2 linked regions of the Drosophila melanogaster genome follow. The protein of the gene in region 2 interacts with the protein of the main gene of each other region in a pairwise test. Each region holds a gene or a part of one and is shown on either strand. Other genes may lie near its edges.

The links. The genes of interacting proteins can lie anywhere in the genome.
Region 1: the proteins of CG5989 (region 2) and CG31211 interact in a two-hybrid assay, tested with the Drosophila melanogaster proteins (one large-scale study listed by BioGRID).

What each region holds. Positions count from the first base shown.
Region 1 is NT_033777.3:11,947,775-11,954,538, forward strand, and holds CG31211 (uncharacterized protein), read left to right. Parts: upstream 1-1,905; 5' UTR 1,906-2,030; coding exon 2,031-2,580; intron 2,581-2,652; coding exon 2,653-3,010; intron 3,011-3,083; coding exon 3,084-3,237; intron 3,238-3,475; coding exon 3,476-3,718; intron 3,719-3,948; coding exon 3,949-4,051; intron 4,052-4,407; coding exon 4,408-4,464; intron 4,465-4,866; coding exon 4,867-4,991; intron 4,992-5,052; coding exon 5,053-6,144; 3' UTR 6,145-6,264; downstream 6,265-6,764. Other genes in the region: Hsp70Aa (heat shock protein 70 Aa), read right to left, coding at 6,587-6,764.
Region 2 is NT_037436.4:8,601,878-8,605,846, forward strand, and holds CG5989 (uncharacterized protein), read right to left. Parts: upstream 2,273-3,969; 5' UTR 2,121-2,272; coding exon 2,029-2,120; intron 1,979-2,028; coding exon 1,388-1,978; intron 1,327-1,387; coding exon 1,038-1,326; intron 977-1,037; coding exon 638-976; 3' UTR 534-637; downstream 1-533. Other genes in the region: RpL14 (ribosomal protein L14), read left to right, coding at 226-426.

The sequences.
Region 1 (6,764 bases), on a different chromosome or scaffold from region 2:
AAAACACAAACACTAAACATTTCAGCAATTCAATCATTCACATATGTATGTATTTATATTTCTTTTTTGTTGCTATTTAGCAATTATGCACGAGTTATCTCACGGTCAACTGGTTTTTTTCGAACGATTTTTTATTGTATTTTATACGAGTCGAATTTCGCATTGATGGAAATGCAAATAAACGCGCAGTGAGAAGAGAACATTTTCCGGGCCCCACAGCAAAAGGAAAAAGAAAATTCAAAACGGCACGCGACGCACGAACTTAATTATTTACTACGTGTGTGTGCGTGTTGTTGCACAACTACAATAAAAACTCAAAAAAAAAAAAATTAAATAAAAGCAAACAACAACGATCCAATGTCAGAGAACCACCCACACGAATTGAAAAGTCAAACGGACAAATTGAATTTCGGCCTGCAATTTACGCTTTTAATTAAATCATTAAAAGGGGGCACAAAGATTACGATTACGCCATTACAGAGCACACAGAAAATCAAGATCTGCGTATGATACCAAATTTCTGAGATTAAGTTGATATTTCATTTTTTTTTATTTTATTTTGATGGTTGAAAGATTGATATAGATAAAGACGTAAATTGAACTTTTGTTTCCTTAACATGACAAAGAAACTTGCAACCACTAAATATTTGTATATATTTTCAGTTAAATCGAATCACATGCTAAGTATATTAATAAAACGTTTGTCTTTGTAAAATCAACGAACTGTTGATCATCTATCCGTCCTGTTTTGCTCCCAGTGTAGCGGCAACAGTTGCACTGTTTGGTGTTTGGTGGCTCAAAAATGTAATTACGCACTCCAGTGCAAAAGCAATCGACAGCAAATTACATATTTGTAATGGTTTGCAATTGAACTGCTTTTAAAATTGAATAGCAATTAAATTGTTGCTTGGCAAACACGAACACACACAGCCCGAAAAAAAACCAGACAAACCACTACAGACAGACTCAGACACACACCGATAGAAACGCTGCTGCGCCGACGCAACTGCGCTGCAGAACTTCTCTTCCTCTTCTCCTTCTTCATCTTTTAATTTCTTTTACCTTTAACTATTATCTATTTTAGCATAATTTCATTCACACACCAGCTTTTGTTTGTATTGAAATTAGTCGCGGCGGCTGTAATTAAACAATGCGGTATTTCGAAACTCGCGCTGAGAACGACCGACAATAACACCAACACAGACAGGAGCGCGCCCTTCTCGCACGCACACAAATTTATTATAACACGTAAACAACAACGCCGCAACGCCGACGCAACTTATTTTTCCGGCAGCGACGCGTCCGCATACGTCCGCTCACGTTAAGTTCCGCAGAGAGAAGTTGTTGAAAACATAAACAGAATCACTTGTTGCACTCTTTGAGAAAAGTGGGGCTATTGCTGAAAAAACCAACTAAAAATATTGCAGGTTAGGGATACTCGCTCGATTGGCGTACGGCCACACTTTTGCGACTTCACTGTTAACCTCTACTTCATAGAGACTTTTACCCGATAAATGTTATGAGTTTGACTTTCTCTGTTAATCACAAGAAAAAATATTGTGGAAATTAAAATTATCTCAAATCAATAAAAAATAATAATATATACACCTATGTTTTATAGAAGTCAACAGTAAATAAGTTATTTGGAAAACCATTGTAGCCGTTTAAATAAATCTCCTTGAGTGTGTTTTAAATAACGGTCATTAAGTATATTACTTGGCCCTCTGAATTTCTTGAATTACACCATTTTTAGAAATAAATCAATCCAAAAGACTACTTTTTGGTGGCAAATGAACTGCATAAAAAGTAACAAAAGAAATATGTTTTTGAAATAACAGTATAGCTGAAGTGTATTAAAAAATACCGTCATATGAGCGACCCGCTGTTACCGCTTCGCTGCGAATGACAAAACGGGCTGAGCAAGAAAATGGCGTAGAAGGCGACGAAAATTCGTTTCACTCGTGAAGAAAACCTCGATAACTGAGGAATACAGCTGGGATTTAAAGAGCATATTCGAACTACAAGCAGAGATGTTTCCTGGTGGAAACGGAAACGCCGATTTGGGCTACAACAAGCATGCCCACGTCCATGGACTTGGACAACATGGCCATGGGCACAACCATAATCACAATCAGTTCCTGGCGCAGCCCCCACCACCCCCCACACATTTTTCACTGCCCTCCGGGGGCGGTCAGGGCATGGTGACGCCCATGGTAGCCGCCGGCCTGCCGCTCGCCATGCAGGGTGGCGTTGGCATCGATTGGGCGCAGCTCGCCCAGCAATGGATCCACATGCGGGACGCTACTCCGGTGCCCATGCCCCTGGCCCCTCCGCCGCCCATCATCAGCAATTTGCGAGAATACCACCAGCAGACGCTAGCAATGCCGGTGCCCAGTGTGGTCAGGGCGGGATTTCCGCAACTAGAGGAGCACGGCGAGGCGGATATGGACATGGACGATGAGAATGATCGGGGACATAGCACTGAGACACCCCCACCGCCAGCACCTTTGGTTACGCAATCCCAATGGCTGGCGGGCACCGAAGTGGCTGGTCAGATCCCAGACGCCTCCAACGGAGCGGGTTTGTAGAAGATCCAAGAAGATAGCACAATAAATCAGGTCAGCAACTAACCCTCCTCTCCGTTCCTTGCAGCTGTCACGCTGGGCAAGCAGCCATGGACCGGGTGGCAAATGCAGACCGACAAATCAGGCAATTCCACGGCGCATATACCATCTCTGCTGAAGCTGAACGTGAGCAATCCCAATGAGCCGCACCAACAGCTGCAGTTGCAGTTGCAAGCGCATCAGCAGCAGCAGCAGCAGCATGCTCCCCAACCAACGCATCCACACCATCCACCAGCACATCAGCCGCATGCACATCCACACCACCTAACACCACATACACACCTGCCGCCACAGCACACACAGCAGACGCATGCGGAAAGCGGAAGTAGCGGGGCTAGCAGTGAGATCGATGCAAACAAACGGAAAATGTTGCCAGCTTGGATAAGGTATGAGTGTGCAAAGAACCACAATAAGATGCACAAAAGATAGATACTTGTAATAATTTCCTTAATCTTTCAGAGAGGGCCTGGAGAAAATGGAGCGGGAAAAGCAGCGGCAACTAGAGCGCCAGCAATCCTCCATGACCACGCCAGATGTTGAGGTCAACCATGTTAAGCAAGTATCAAGCAAAACACTAACCACACCTGGTAATCTTTTGAACATCGCGAACGTGGTAAGTAAGGTCGATGGGCGGCAGGGTTAACTGACTCTCAATACGGACAGAAAAGTGCCGAAAGCGTAGCACACACCATCTCACACAAATTGGTTGCACAAAATTTAGACGGGACTGAACCAAACTGAAAACGATGTTTCGTCGTTGAAAGCACACAAAACTTAAAAACAATCCGGACAGTAGAGCAGACTGCAGGCTTGAGTGCAGGCTGTCGATTAAACATTCCCTTGAAATTCAGGCTAGCGACAGCGAAGATTCCATTGACGTGCCTGTGGAGGCGCGTGGAGAACTAAAGGTGCAGCAAATAGGTAATGAATTGATTAGTAAGGACGACGATCGAAGCAGCAGCAGCAGCGAAGAGCCAGAGTCGGAGCTGCATGGAGCCATCGAAACCGGCAATCGGACAGTGGCGGAGCACGTGAGAATGGCTACCGTAAACGATGTCAATGGTAAAAACTACGAAGAAAGACTGGCGGATCTGGTAGGCATCACCATTTGACCCGGATGTTTGCTCAGCCAGGCGATGAAATCGAGTGAGTCTCAGAGGCGAAGGAACTGCGGAATTCTGACAACACTTTACTGGCTGCTCTGCAGTTCGTTCACTCTTCACTAGAGTTTCATTCCCTGGCCATCGGCGGCACATCCAAAAAAAAAACCCATTTGTATAGTTGCAAACAATGAATATGAACACCCAATACCACCCATCTGTAGATGCTTGTGGTGCGTCGGACACTAACCGAAATCCTGCTGGAAACCACGAACGAAGAGATTGCAGCCATTGCAGGCGAGACTCTAAAAGCACACCGTGCGAAAGGTACATTATGCATTATACTTAAGTTTATCCCAAACCGATTTCTTCCAGCGCTCGCGCTCGTGTGTGTGTGTGTAAGTAGTTATAGATCGTAAGACGGCGCGGATATATCGCGGATCGATTGTAGCTTGGATGACCGGATGTTTCGGCCAAGCGATTGGAGTCGTGTTTTTTCCGGCTTCACAGCGCGTTACCAACTCTTTTAATCCTATGTCTATGCTAATAATCTTTAAATCCCTAATAATGAATTGATATATCGAACACCACACAAACCAATGAAATCACTTGCTGAATTTTTTAATTTTAATATATAATATATATAATTATATATATATATGTATGTATGTGTAAATCAAAAGCGTCATCAGCCCAAGTGATTCGCAAAAGCGCCTTGTCCTCCATTACCGGCAACTTGGGTAAGTAACCAAATTCCAGTTTAGTTCATACATATTCTTTGCACTATTTTTGTTCAGAGGTAGTCTGAGTTATGCTTGGTCATCCTGTCTTTCTATACCCCAAATCCTAATCACAAAACGAAAAGATATTACAAAGAATTGGATTACTCCTATGGCCGAGATTTAACATTCTATGCTTCCTGTAAATTTAAGCCATGGCCAAATGATTTCGACCCCCTCGGCGCAGTTTGGTCTTTCTAGCCCGCTTCTTCGTCCTTTCGCTTCCCCATTTCCCCTTCCTTTCACCTTTCCGTAAATTCTTGCGAAGATATTGAAAATCAGTTCAAAATATACCAAAATCTGCGCCCGATCTACATTGAAGCCTGGTAGCAACAATTAGCACTTGACTGATTTGAATTATAGGTTTAGCTGCCTATGGCGATTCTTCCAGCGAAACCGAGGATGATGAGGATGATGAAGATGAGCGTCAAGCGGGCGCTGGAAAGGATGCCGAAAAAAGCGCGCAGCTAAGCGCGGAGGAGTTGAAAGTAAGTTAGCCACACGTTCATTATCAAAAGATATCAATTCTCAATATTATTTGGCTTTTAGGCTCGCATAAGGCGCAGCAAACGATCCTTCGAGAAAGTCATTGACGACATTGAGGATCGAGTGGCCAAGCAAGAGCTGCTTGATGAGCAAACACTGCTGCGACATCGCAAGCGGGAGCTAGAACGCTCCGTAACTGGTGGTGGTGAGCATCGTCGACCGGCGGCCAATCCAGAACCGCCCAGTGAGTCGGCTAGTCAAGCAACCCAGGAAAAGCATCAGCAGTCAAATGGTATAGGTGATGCACATAAATCCAAAGAACTCCTAAGCATACATTGCCATCATTTAGGCAAAAGACTCAGTCGCAAGGAACGGACCACCCGCTTTAGCGACAACAAGGACGGCAAACAGCAGTCGCAGAGCTTCGTGCAACAAGTAGTGGCGACCGCTGTGGTGCCACCACCCGGAAGCCTAAGCAATAGCAGCCCACAAAAGCTGAAGCCCGTTCCCAATCCGGCCACTAATCTACTGCAGATGCCGGAGTCGGTGGCCACCATGCTGACTGCGGCTGACAAGGCGCTGCACAAGGCCAACAAGTCGTCGCATAAAAAAAGCAAGCGCCGCCACTCGTCCCCCTCGTCATCGTCTAGCAGCAGTGGGAGCAGCTCTAGCAGCGATAGCGACGACAGTAGCAGCACCTCGAGCGGATCCAAAACTTCAGGCAGCCGCAGCAAGCGATCCAGTCGGCATGGACACCGCAGCCACCACAGCAGCAGTCGGAGCAAATACGAACGTCGCGATCGCGACAGAGAAAGGGAGCGGGCGCGGGAGCGAGAGCGGGACCGTGATAGGAGTCATCGCCAGCATCGTAGTAGCCAGCTTAGTGGAAGTCACCACCAGAAACAGCGCCGACATCGCGAGTCCAGCCATTCAGGCGAAGATGCTGGCGGTAGCAGCAGTTACCACCGCTCCTCGCGGCAGAGCAGCAGCCGTAGCCATGATCATGGCAGCAACCGTAGCCATGATCACGGCAGCAGCAGCAGCGGACGGAAGCGGCACCGCACGAGATCCCGCTCCAAGTCGCGAAGCACTCACCACTCCAGCTCGAAAGCATACTCCTCCACTTCCGCGTCGCATCCGCGCAAGCGCCATTAAGAAAAATCTTGCGCGTAAAAATCCGAAGTTAATTGTTAATATTACATAATTATTATTTCTTCTGTTTAAGATGCTTTTTAGTAAACAGTTTTAAATCAGCCTAATAAATTAAAAACTCAGAAAAATTTGTTTTTTTTTCATGTGTTATGCGAATATCCTCATAATAATTAGATATATTTTTAAAGTTGGACATACGGGAATACGGGAATTAAGTTCCCAATAATACAAACAAGTAAACTTTTTTAAATTCAATAAATAATTTATTTTTTCTATAAGCAATAACATTTTTGCTAAATTAAGACTTGGTAATTAGGTAATACTATTGTTGTTCTATGGAATATTCGATCGAAACATTCTTATCAGTCTCAAAAACTTAAAACAAACTTATAATATAACCCATATGTTATAACCCATTGATGAACAAAAATTAGACTCTTTGGCCTTAGTCGACCTCCTCGACCGTGGGTCCAGAGTAGCCTCCAAATCCTCCCGCCTGCTGGCCGCAGTTTGCTCCCGGACCACCAGCTCCAGCTCCCGCACCCTGCTGATGCATCTTGGTCATGATGGGGGAGCAGTGGCGGGTGAGCTCCTCCAGCTTGTGGTCGAACTCCTCCTTCTCG
Region 2 (3,969 bases):
TAGGAAAGTTTACCTATGTAGAGGGGAAAATGTTATACCTCTTCTCTGCCTAGTTGATTACCTCCTTGAACTGCACATGATGATAATTGAAAGTTCTTGATAGGAATTGCCGGCTGACACATATATGAAGCTAATTCTAGTTTATCTGATTACAATCATAGCTAGGCGTCTTCATAAACATTCAGAATAAATCAAGTACTAATGAGAATTTGTCTTCTTTTGCAGCGCTCCTCGTTGAACGACTTTGACCGCTTCAAGCTGCGTTATGCCAAGCGTCAGCGCAACAAGCTGCTGACCATCGCCTTCAACACACTGAAGAAGCGCACCAAGGCTGACGGCACTCCCCGCGTCCTCAAGAAGGATCGTCGCGAGCGTCTGCGTGCCGAGAAGGCCAAGGGTGGCAAGAAGGCCGCGGCCAAGAAGTAAAAAATACTACCTTTAACGAAAGTAACTGCTTGATGAACATCCACCACCATGGAGAAAATAAAAGAAAGTGTTATTTTTAGGAAAAACACAAGCACACTGCCAGCTTTCTTTTGGTTTAACGGTTTTATTTGCTCTCAAGAAACAAAATGATCTTAACAGTCCAATCTTTAAAGCACAGTCTACCAAATAGCTAACGACCAGAGGACCCCGCTCAAGTGGGGCACTTGCCGTAGATGGTCTTCCAGTTGTTGGGATGGTTGTAGCCCAGCAGGATGGGCAAGTGCAGGAACAGCGTGATATGTTCGCCTTGTATCGACGTGGACACCTTGACCCACTTCCGCAGCCACTCGATCATGGCCTCGCTGCTCAGGCTGTCGGGATTCAATCCGCGCAGATAGCAGGAGTAGCGCAAAGCATCCGGTGTCAGGTTGTGAACGCCACCCTCGCGGGTTATGGCCTGGTCCATGTAGTGCACCAGGAAGGCGTGCTCGTGGAGCCGATGTCGCTTGAAGATGCTACTGGGCAGTCCATGAAGGTTGACTAGGTTTCTCTGGAACGTATGCATTAGTGATATGCTTTAGGCTGCATAAAATGTGTCAGATTAAACGTACAACGTGCTTCCGCGACATTCCCAGCAGGGAATATGGTCCTTCGGCGAATATGTCTTTGACATCGATGAGCATCTCAGGCGTGGGGTGTGTGCCGCTGCCCAGCTGGCCCAGGATGTCAGCAAAAGCCGAGTGCTTGGGATGCGATGCCGTCGCTTTGAGCTTGTCCTGCAGGCAGCGAAAGACGTCCTTGTTATTGCATAATCGCCGCTTCATGTAGTAGCTCTGGAACTCGGAGCGCTGCTGCGGAGTCCAGAAATGGGCAGTGAGAAAGGAGCGGGGGTAATAAAAGCTGCGAAAGAACAAATCGGTATACCAAATTTTGCAAGAGTGTTTAGTAGGGCATATCTTACACGAGGGGAAAGAACGCATAGCCCACCATGGGCAGGGAGCAGCCGATCAGAGCTGGTGCCACCTTCATCATGTCCCTTGGCATCTGCATGTACAGCTCCAGCTCCTGGCGATTCAAAGCTCTTATGCCTTGAGGCGAATCATTGGCAATGCGGGCAATCTTGAGGAAACGTTTCATGTCGCCAAAAAAGTCCTTGACGCCATCGAAGAACACCCTGTACAACTGCATGGCCTTGGGGAAGTTCTTTTCGAGCACTTTGTCGTAGTTCTTCACATAGTTGAAGTACCGGGTGAATATGTAGTCCTGCATATTGTCTCGCATCTGATCCCGTTTCGATTTCACAGTGTCCAGCTCCTTGCGCTTCTCGTCTTCGGGTTTCTTAGACGGCGTCGGCTGTGTGGACGACGAGCTGCTGGGCCGGACCTTTGGCTTTTCAATGGGCTTGTTGGCATCCCAGCCCGTTTCGTAGATGACCTTACCCACGCTGGTTATCTCGGCGGCCACATTTCGCTTGATTTGTGGTGGAACCGCTGCTTCGGGCTTCGTTGCGTAGTTCCTGCTGCAGAAAGCTGTTGGCCTCTTATCGCTGGCGCTGGGTAATTGAATTTTAATGCTGACTGATAATTGGGGTCAACTACTCACCTGCTGCACAGGTGTAACAGTCGCCGGCGATCGCGGGGCCAACAGTTGGCCGGAATCGCGGCGCATCGGGCAACGCGCAGCGCCAACGCCATACTGTAACTCCAAGTGGCAGCCAGAAACCAGGAAGAGGCGCGTTATTACGCAACCGCCGACTCCAATGCAGGAGTTGCCCACAAAAATAAAAAAAATTCAAGGAGCAATTACGATTTACTCGATTTGAACAGCTGTTGAACTAGAGATGGAACACAAACAGAGCTGCTCACACGTTTAGCGAGTGTTCTTACCACCGCTGAGCGAATGCACGAACCTATCAGTTTTAACGAAAGTTCCAGCCAAGCAAATATTTATATTTAACGAAAATGTCTGTTAAGTGTTTTGTTTTTGAAATTGCTAGCTTTGTTATTTGTTTAATATAACCATTATAGTTTAGAATATATCCATTGCAGTAAAACTCTTTAATTATAATAGAAGCATGCCAAGTTCCCTGGGCCAAAAATTAAGGCTAAAAAATAGAAGGTATGAAATTGTATGTATATATTCAAACATTATTTATTATATCAGTTTGAAACTAATTTCAATTATTGCTTCATGTACTAAATCTGAAAATCCAGATAAGAATTTCAAATCTCTGGCGCCCACCGTGCAGCAAGCAGTGCGCACTGCTTCACGGCGAAAGGCTTTCTCTCCGCTGGCTGCAGAAATTGCGCTGCTGCTGCGGGAGAAGAGAAAGTGATTTTCAGTCCACCCTGAGTCGTCTGTTGCGTCGGTTGCTCGAGTCCCTTCCGTTGGCCAAAAAACTCGCGGCGGCCGTTCTGTTTGTTTTCGCCTCGTAGATGCTGTCTGCAATCAAGAAGCAAAAAAAAAGGCATTGAAAGCAATAAAAACCAGAGCCAGCGCGGCAACAAGGAGAGAAATTAAGCGTTAGAGCGGCAGGAAACAAACAGAAAAAAATCGTAACTAATCACCAGGCCACTTTTGGCCATTTTGTGGCATAAGCGGAAACGGAAATGTGCGTTAGTTGTTTGGCAGGTCGACAGGAGTGTTGAACGAGGGCGGGGGGCGTGGACGGGGCCGGAAAAGGGGGCGACAAGACCTTCAGCGGGAAATTGTAAAACTTAGCGCGTGTCCAACTTGCTTGACTTTCCACTTGTTTTAGCGCTGAGAAAAGCGGAAAAGCGGAAAAAGACGGACAAAGTTACCCGAAAGACACTCTCTAATGTCTCTTTTTCTAAGCACGTGTGTGCGTGCGTCTTCGTGTGTACATATGTTAGAGTGTATGTGTATGTGCGCCCAACGGTGCGTGTGTGTACGCGTGTTTTTTCCGCTTAGCTTCAATGCGACTTATTTATCTGCCACAGGATATGGGATATATATCGTATATATGCGCACATGTATATTTGTGCGTATATTTAGCCAGCTGGAAAAGCTACAGTTACACTATTGACACTGGTACCCATTTGTTTGTTCGCCCTCTCGTAAAAATAGAACTAACCGAGCGCCATAAATACCACCGACAAAGTGCCTGCTGGTCGGGTTTAATTGAAAAAACGTCAATATTCCTTCAGGCGACCACCCGTTGAGTCCTTGTCCGCGTCAGCGTCCCTCCGAAAAAGTCCTTGGCCAAACTCTGTCGAAGTTCAAGGTGCTGCCATGCTGCCCTGCTGGCCATGCTGGCCACATTAAGTCAATTCCCACGCCTTGTTCGCTGGGATTACATAAAGTGCCAATCTTTGCAACAGAATGCCTTATTTATGGAGATCTCCCAACGCTGGCAGTCAATTCAATATGGATTCGGCTTTATTGAATTGCCCGGCTTTGACTTGCACTTTATGAATATTTAAGTTTAATACATTTTCACTACGTCGCACCGAAGGGAAAACAATTTTGTCGAATTGCACTGCAGAATCCTTGGTTATGGCCAAGCATTAAGGGATCAGAGTG